Linked DNA regions of Danio rerio. Each later gene encodes a partner of the first gene's protein in a complex. Links are inferred from orthologs where the notes say so. Each region holds a gene or a part of one and is shown in the gene's direction. Other genes may lie near its edges.

Region 1 (4,258 bases):
TTTATAATGCATTTGGGTCTGTTTTGACCCTAAAACCTATATACAAATAAGGTTCAGTTCTTTATAAAGTAGATAACAGGCATACTATGTCTCTTATGGAACAAATTTAAGGTCTAAAGTATTTGAAATAGAAAGCTTCTTAAATAGCACTCTTTTGATTTGTATTTGGCTTGAATTGTTAGGGTTTGTATTTTAGGACCTGTTAAGCTGTAATTCAACCACAAAATATTTTACACACACCCGGTACCGGTGACGTCATCGACTTTCGCTTTAAGATTTAGGATTTAAAGGGCTAGCAGTGCATTTATGATCACTAAGCAGCCCCAGATAGCACTGACAGCTGTCATCTCTTATGCTGTTTGCTTCAGGGCCTCCTCTGTTTTTGAGGTGGTGTGCATAAGTAATCCTTTTACATGTCTGATGTGGTCCAAACACAGTCAATTATGTTTGATCAAACAAAAGAATTGTGAAATATGAAAACAATGATCGATCCCTGTGGCTTGAATAGCACCTATGATCAGTTGGAATACAATAACTTTTGCATAGATTATGGTAGAGACATTTTTCTTTTTTCCTTTGATTACAGACATGTGCAGGAACCACCAACATTATTTACATCAACATAGACCACACAGAACCTAAAAGGTACACTTTTAAATTTGAGTTTATAAAAAAATGCAAAAAGTGCCTCTTTTTTGGGTGTTTATCATAACACAGACAACATATACAGTTAGTTTAACACTTTCAATAGTGTTTTATGAAAAATCAAAGGGTTTTCTTTAAAATGATACCATTTTTTTTTTTTTTTTTTTTTTGCATTTACACCTCTGCATGTGGATTTGGGAAGCTTTTCCAGGCGGAAATCCCAAAATAGCACTAATCCCAAAATAGCATTTTTGTTGATAACCGAAATATCGTTAGTTGATAGCTTAAATAAACAGTTAACGTTACGTTAAATTTCAAGACCTAAAAATACAAAGCCTGACAGTTCAAGTAATTTAAAAAATACAAACACTTGATAATTCAAATTATTCAATCCATATATATTTTTTGTTAATACTATTCAACAAGCTTTTTATTTCAAACAATTTAATAAGCATTAATTTTTCCCCAAGTCGCTCTATTAAAATACTATCTGATAAATCTCAAGCCCCCTATTCAAAGCTCCAAACAGCTCCAAAAATACGCATTACTGAAGCTCTTGAATCTGCCACGACGACATTCGAGACTGCGCATTTGGCAGCGGTTGATGATGTGCTCGAACACACTAGGAACGTTGCGGAGCGTGCGCCCGAGCTACATCGAGATAGCAAACATTCCGCATGGATTTAACACTCTTCAGCGTGACTTCTGTAAGCACACACTCTCCTGCTGTCTCCACACACTACACACGGCTGGGTTTTGTCCGATGGGGGCAACCAACCCCATAGGTTTTAAGGAAGCGAGGACTTACTGGCTGCTGGAGACTAACAAAGTGTTTGTTAGCCAGCTAACGTTAAGTTAACTGCTGTCATTGTGAAAGTGACAGTAAAACTTACCAAACTTAACTAGTGACAACAGCGTCCTATGAGGATTAAACTTGTTGGTCCTGTGACTCAGCATCAGCTCTTCGCACGAAAGGTAAAACAATCCAGCAGTTTTGTTGTTCTTCGTGTCTGTGGTTTAAGTTAGCTTTAGGCTCAAAAGCAAACATCTCACATCTGCATCAAAGGAATCTTTCTGAGAACGTTATTTTTAGAGTAACGTTAAATGCCTGTTTCTAACTGATGACACCTTAAAATTTCAGTTCTTTAATAAATTGGATATCATTAAACACTTAATGTATTGATCATGGGGTTATTATTATATATAAACTCTCCAAGCGATAGAGATGAACGTTAGCTGCATATATAATAAAGCTAATCTCTATTGCTTGGAGAGTTTATATTAGCTGATGATGTAATGTATAATAGGGCTAACGTTAATCCATTCGTTTTTGCGATGAGCAAAACGTTTGTTACTGTTTTTTTTATGTGTCTTTGTTGACGTTAATTAATACAAATACAATTGTCCATTCAATGTTTATGTTCTGGTATGGTTTATTAAATGTGGTAGTTTAATAATTGTTTTGTGAATGACGCAGTGAGAATGAAGTTAGGGTTTATAATTGCTTTAGAAAATTTATTTTGTTACATTATGTTTATTCTGAAGGTTTAACACATATAAACTTATATTTATTGTCGGTATATTATCGTTATAACTTATGAATAAAATTACAAACCTTGACACTATCGTTATTGTCTTTATATCATCGTTATAACCTATCGATAAAATTACAAACCCTGACACTATCGTTATTGTCGATATATTATCATTGTAACTTATCGTTAAAAATTTAAGCCCTGATACTATCTTTATTGTCGGTATATTATTTTTTATATCTTATTGGTAAAAATACCCAGACACTATCATTATTGACGGTGTATTATCTTTATAACTTATTGGTTTAAATACAAGCCCTGACACTATCGTTATTGTCGGTATGTTATCTTTATAACTTATCGGTTTAAATACAAGCCCTGACACTATCGTTATTGTTGGTATAGTATCTTTATAACTTATCGGTTTAAATACAAGCCCTGAGACTATCGTTATTGTCGGTATATTATCTTTATAACTTATTGGTTTAAATGCAAACCCTGACACTATCGTTATTGTCGGTATATTATCTTTATAACTTATCGGTTTAAATACAAACCCTGACACTATCATTATTGTCGGTATAGTATCTTTATAACTTATCGGTTTAAATACAAGCCCTGACAGTATCGTTATTGTCGGTATGTTATCTTTATAACTTATCGGTTTAAATACAAACCCTGACACTATCATTATTGTCGGTATAGTATCTTTATAACTTATCGGTTTAAATACAAGCCCTGACAGTATCGTTATTGTCGGTATGTTATCTTTATAACTTATCGGTTTAAATTAAAACCCTGACACTATCGTTATTGTTGGTATATTATCGTTATATATAAGTTTTTGTTTGTTTCGAAGAATTGAACTCAAATATGGATTCAGCAGGGTTGAGATTTTATATTTAATTTGTAGTCTTTACTTTGACATTTTGTATTTTTTTTTTTAGATTAGGGCTGAGCAGTATATCGTTTCAGCATCGATATCGCAATGTGTGTGTCCACAATATTCACATCGCAGGATATGCAATGTTGAGTTGCGATTATAGTCGATCAGCACAGCAGTTGAGAATACATGATACATTGTGGAGTCATGGCAGAGTATACCAATAAATACAGAGTGGAACTTTATCATTGTTTGTGTAACTTTTGTTTTTGATCTGTCTTGTTTATTTTTGCTTGTAATTTGTTATATTTTATGCAGATCCACTGCATGGAAAAAGACTTGATCATCCCAATCAGTCTAAATTAAATCTTTATAAATAGAGCTATTTAAATATTCTGTTGAAAATTTATTTATATCCTAATATATTGCAACAAACAAATTTTTTTTCCAATATCGTACAGATTGAGGTAAAGTTGGTTTTTATATTCGCACTTTCATTCAGTGACAACTTGGGACATGCTCCCTATATTGTTTACCATGCCTAAATCAGCCTAATTCAGATGTACAGTTACTGCTCGGGTTTGTGATGTCAGACTGTGTAAATATTGATTTGTTCTAGTGTACGTTTCCTAAGTCACGTTTGTGTTTCTCATAGAAGAGGTGCTTTAGTTAAAGCTTAATTCAGATGTGTCAGAAACATTCAGAGTGTTTAGTGGGTAAGTTTAGACAGCAATGTTTTTTTTATATGAGGCTGATATTATGTTGCTATTATTTAATTAGCACTTTACATACTGTACAGTTACAGTACCATCTTTTGTTCTTGTATCTTGATAATCACTATAGTATTTTTAAAGTACTTTGATATACCATGTGGTGTGTGTTGGTTTCATTCAGAATTAGGTTTATGTGTATTGTTCTGTATGTTTTAGTTTCACTTGTTGCTAGAAAAGCATTTGGCAGAATTATGGTCAAGCCAATAAACTCACAGTTATGACAAATAAAGTAGCAGTTCTGAGAAAACAAAGTTAAAATTGTGAGATATAAAAGTCAATGTTTGTATAAAACTATGGTGATTGATATATTCTAATTTATGTTTATGTTGTAATTAAAGTGTAATTAAAATGCATCAGTAACATTTAACGCGTTAAGTTTAAACAGCCTCATTTTTATCTACAGGATAACAGACTTGGCCGTG
Region 2 (4,570 bases), about 3.6 Mb from region 1:
TTTCACAAACTTTAAAATACATTAACATACTGCATAACTGCCCTGCAGTAAAATGCAGTTCATATTACAGTTAAAAACTGCTTAATTTACACATATTGTTAACAATGTAGTCACATTTGTTTCATACTACAAAAGCTATCCAGTATTGAGTTGTTGTTGTTTTTTATTTAAGACCTCGTCTGGATCAATTCAATAATCTGTGGTAATAAATGCTTTTCATAAATAACCGGTAATAAGTTCAATATCAGCATGATGTCAGTGATGTCACAACCCTCGAAGGCTCAGCAGGCTTTCTACAAGATGTAGCTCAGCATTAGCACGTATCATATTGTACATGAAATGACAGAATCAGACTTACCGCAAGCACCGCTGAATGATATTAACCAACTATATAAACCTAATAAAGTCCATATTTTAACCCGGACATGCTATGACAGAAAAGAGACAAGATGATCCGACACGCTGAACGACTCTGTTGTTCTGATTCTGCGTCCTCGCTCTGCTGTCACATGACACATGTCAGCTGATTTCACTTCAACGCGGTCTCTCACGGATTACGTTTCCGTGTTTCTGTTTTAAAAATCAAAAAGTTAACGATACACTTTTAAAACATTGCAGCTTTTGCAAAATCAAAATGACGTACAGAGTATGACGGAAGCTGTATGCTTTAGTACTTTTTAATGAACAAATTTAATGAAGGAAATTAACAAACTTTTTATTATTACAGTTCTCAACTTAATTTAATTTGAACGTATTTAATTTAATTATTTAATTTTGCTTAATTTTATTTAGAGAGCAACAAAAACAAGGGATCATCTAAAAAATGTGTTTTACGTTTAAAACGTTTGATATCACTTCTGATGCGATATCCAACAAAATGTTGTGTGCTGCTGAATATATCGTTGTATCTGTAGATGTATATGGAAAATACTATGTAGTAAACACTAGTCTATTTGAACCATATTATATTAAAGTGTCTTTTACTATATTTACAGAGCACAGGCTAACTGTTATTACGGTATTAGCAAACTGATAAAGTGTAACAAAATACTGCAGTAAACTCAACAGTAAATTGGTATAGTAGTATATTTTCTAGTTGTAGAAACTTGGTACACTATTGGGTTTTTGACACTATTTGTTGTATTACCAGGGACTATTACAATAACAAACTATTTCAAGTATTTTAGTATGGTTCAATTTTTTTCATGTGGGGATGGTATTTAAATCGGACTTGTGAGGAGCTTATAAAATGTGTAAATGAGTCAAAACAATACCAAGACATCTGGAATAGACATTTACGACATGGCAATTCCATGACTGTATGACAAGAAATATGTTTGGTTTTGGTCATGTGGGTCCTGTTATTAGCTTTAGATGTCCTTATTTGTTCATGTTGCATTTACATTACATTTAAACTGCACCAGAGTCTGAAACAGATTGGGACCCATCTTTCATCCAGTTTCGCTCCACTTTTGTGTAGAGCACCAAGGTTCAGATGACAGCATTAACATTAATTTAAATGAGCAGTAACAAACAAACAACAAACATATAATCAATTTAGTTTAATAATGCCACGTGTTTTTTGTGGTGCGAATGAACGCTTTGTCAGAAACTGATAGTTTATTGATGAGCCCTAAAGGAAACAGTGCGTCACCTGACCGTCCAGCAACAGTGCCAGCAAAATCGAGTCTGTAGACTTGAGTTTGCAGCAACAGTCTGATCGATCATGACGGTAATTACCCCCTTTAATATAACATTTAATTAACAATAATCCGTTTACTTTTGCTTAGGGTTTCAGAACATCCTAAGTTCGTTTTTACTCAAGATAACTTCCAGACTTAGCTTAGTTGCTAACGTTTTGATGAGTGTCTCTTATTGAATCAAAGATGTTTTCTTTCTTCACAGACTCACGAGTTTTTTGTTGACATGACATGTGAAGGATGCTCTGGTGCAGTCACTCGAGTACTTAATAAACTGGGTAAGGTTTAGGTTTTTTACATTTGAAATATTCTAATCGTAATATCGTTGAATTGTGTACTGGAACCATTTAAATGAGATGTTTGTGAATTGTGTTATTAAATGCATCAGATGTTGCTGCTTTCTTTGCTTTTTGTGTTAAAAAGTGCTTTGTCATGGTGGGACAGAGTTCATAGTTCATTTGTATTTCTCAACAGATGTCAAGTTTGATATCGATCTTCCCAACAAGAAGGTCTTCATTGAGTCAGACAAAAACACTGATGTCCTTCTGGAAACACTAAAAAAGACTGGAAAAACTGTTACCTACATTGGTACAAAATGAAAAGGTTTATATTAAAACAATAAGGTGAGAACTCAATTCAAATACTTCAGTCAATTGCACTCACAGAAGTTAAAAATCATTATAACACATTAACTGAACTATTATATAGTACAAGTTTCTTGGTCTTGTGATCAGACAGGATTTACTTGACAGTCCAAAGTTTGTTTTTATTGTAACATAAAGCTTGCATTATCAGTTTCCATCCACCTGTTAAAGTGATAGGTCACAAAAAATACATAAGTACAAATTTGCTAATTTTTACTTCTCTTCAGCCCTCACAATATGGCTTTTTTTGTTAAGCTTTATTGGAATATTCAACAACCACAAGCACTTTGACAGTAAAAAGCATATACAGAGAAGGAAAAAACTAAAAGGGATAGTTCATCCCAAAACAAAAACTAAAATCAATCACCTTTTATTTGCATGTTTTAAATCTGTTTGGGTTTCTTTTTTCTATTGAACACAAAAGAAGATATTTAAAAATTCATGAGCTTAAAGTCACATATAAGCTGATGCTGTTTGTTTACAACATTTTATAGAAACAACAAATAAAGAGTATTTTGATAACGAGTACAGCAGCATCAGCTCATGTTTGACTTTGCGCTACTTAAATTTATTATACTCAAGATTGCTTAAAAAAAACTAGGCTGTGTGGACTTAAAGAAGGCTAAAAATGCTGGGTTCTAGACAATCGATTTGAGTTGGAACAACATGACGGAATTTAGTTACCTTATTAATTTGTACAAATAGTAACAATTTACAATAAGGTTCATTAGTTAATGCATTTACTAACATGAACGAATCATGAACAACACATGTACAGCATTTATTAATCATAATTTAACATTTACTAATGCATTATTAACATCCAAATCTATGCTTGTTAACATTAGTTAATGCATCATGAGTTAACAAACTATGAACTACTGTATTTCCACTAACGTTAACTAACATGAACAAATACAGTAGTAGATGTGTTCTTCATTGTTTGTTCATGTTAGTAAATGCATTAACTAACATTAACTAATGAACCTTATTGTAAAGTGTGACTACAAATTTAAGTGGATTGAACATAAAACAATTAAGTTATTAAAAAAACTCAATAATTGTTTCAGCTAATTTTAAATAAGTCATTTAAACAATCAGCAAAATAAATTTCTGATTTGTGATATCAGAAATCAAGGATATTCCTTTCATTTTTCTTGTATATGTTTTTGACACAAAATACTGGTAGCCATTGGCTTGCATTTCACAAATCAGCAATGGTCTCAGTTTCAGCTAAAAATCCCATTAATTATACTCTTAAATAAAAAAAGAGTTAATTGCTAAAAAAAAGTGTTATTCTTAGGGCTGAACTTTTTATTTTTTAAGGTTGACAAATCAGTGCTGTCTCTGTTTTTGTACTAATAGTCTGTGACATATTTGTTGTAATGATTTAATTTGTTCTGATTTAAAGAGACAGTTCATCCAAAATGAAAATAATTGTTTACTCATATTCTAATGGTTCTAAACTTATGAATTTATTTTCTCTGTTGAACACAAAACAAGATAGTTTGAACAATGTTGGAAAAAAACAGCCATTGACATCCACTATGCTAGTCAATACCTGTTATTTTCAGCATACCTAAGTATATCTTCCTTTGTGTTCAATAGAAGAAAGAAACTCAAACAGGTTTGGAACAAGTGGAGCATGAGTAAACGATGACAGAATTTCTATTTTTGGTTGAACTATCCCTTTAAAAAGATCTCATTTATATTCTGAGCTACCGTTTTATTGCAGTTGAGATTACCTAAAGTGGACATGTGCTCATTAATTCATTGAAATTCATTGATGTTTTAATAGGTCAGAATCATGCTGCTTTGGAGATTATAAAATGGGACTCCTTCAATGGCCTGTACATTACATATCTGATCAATTGCTATGTATCTGCGGGACCACAAAAGGAAATTTGTTCAGCAGAACCACAAACAACTACCAGGCTTTGCTTTTTTCTTTTTAAAAATGTTCTGTTTACAATTATAAGAATCTTGATTAAAGCCAATCCGTTAACAGTGTGGTCTTTTTCCTGCCACACTTGTCTACATGTAATTGTATGTGTCCAGATGTTTAAATAAAGATTCCTGTATTTACTCAGAGGAAAACAAAATTGTCAGAGTGTTTTTTGCTTGTCCGTAACTAGAGTTTTAGTCAATTTTAATAGATAATAGCTTAATGCAATTTTATTTATTTATTTATTTATTTAATTTTTTTGTGTGTGTGTGGTGCAAATG

The links.
Region 2: the proteins of atp7a (region 1) and atox1 are in contact, whole or in part, in an NMR structure (PDB 2K1R), measured with the Homo sapiens proteins. The link is inferred for Danio rerio from reciprocal best matches to the Homo sapiens genes ATP7A and ATOX1. Residues at the interface, in NP_000043.4 of Homo sapiens: Cys19, Asn20, Ser21, Cys22, Trp24, Thr25, Gln29, Asp67, Asp68, Met69, Gly70, Phe71, Asp72; in NP_004036.1 of Homo sapiens: Thr11, Cys12, Gly13, Gly14, Cys15, Ala18, Arg21, Val22, Lys25, Lys57, Thr58, Gly59, Lys60.

The regions. Positions count from the first base shown.
Region 1 is NC_133189.1:26,685,512-26,689,769, forward strand, and holds the start of atp7a (copper-transporting ATPase 1), read left to right. Parts: upstream 1-1,264; 5' UTR 1,265-1,352; exon of another isoform or gene 1,353-1,835; intron 1,836-1,918; exon of another isoform or gene 1,919-4,258. UniProt on the Homo sapiens protein: ATP-driven copper (Cu(+)) ion pump that plays an important role in intracellular copper ion homeostasis.
Region 2 is NC_133189.1:30,257,296-30,261,865, reverse strand, and holds atox1 (copper transport protein ATOX1), read left to right. Parts: upstream 1-1,635; 5' UTR 1,636-1,726; coding exon 1,727-1,732; intron 1,733-1,905; coding exon 1,906-1,978; intron 1,979-2,174; coding exon 2,175-2,299; 3' UTR 2,300-2,323; intron 2,324-4,142; 3' UTR 4,143-4,441; downstream 4,442-4,570. UniProt on the Homo sapiens protein: Binds and deliver cytosolic copper to the copper ATPase proteins. May be important in cellular antioxidant defense.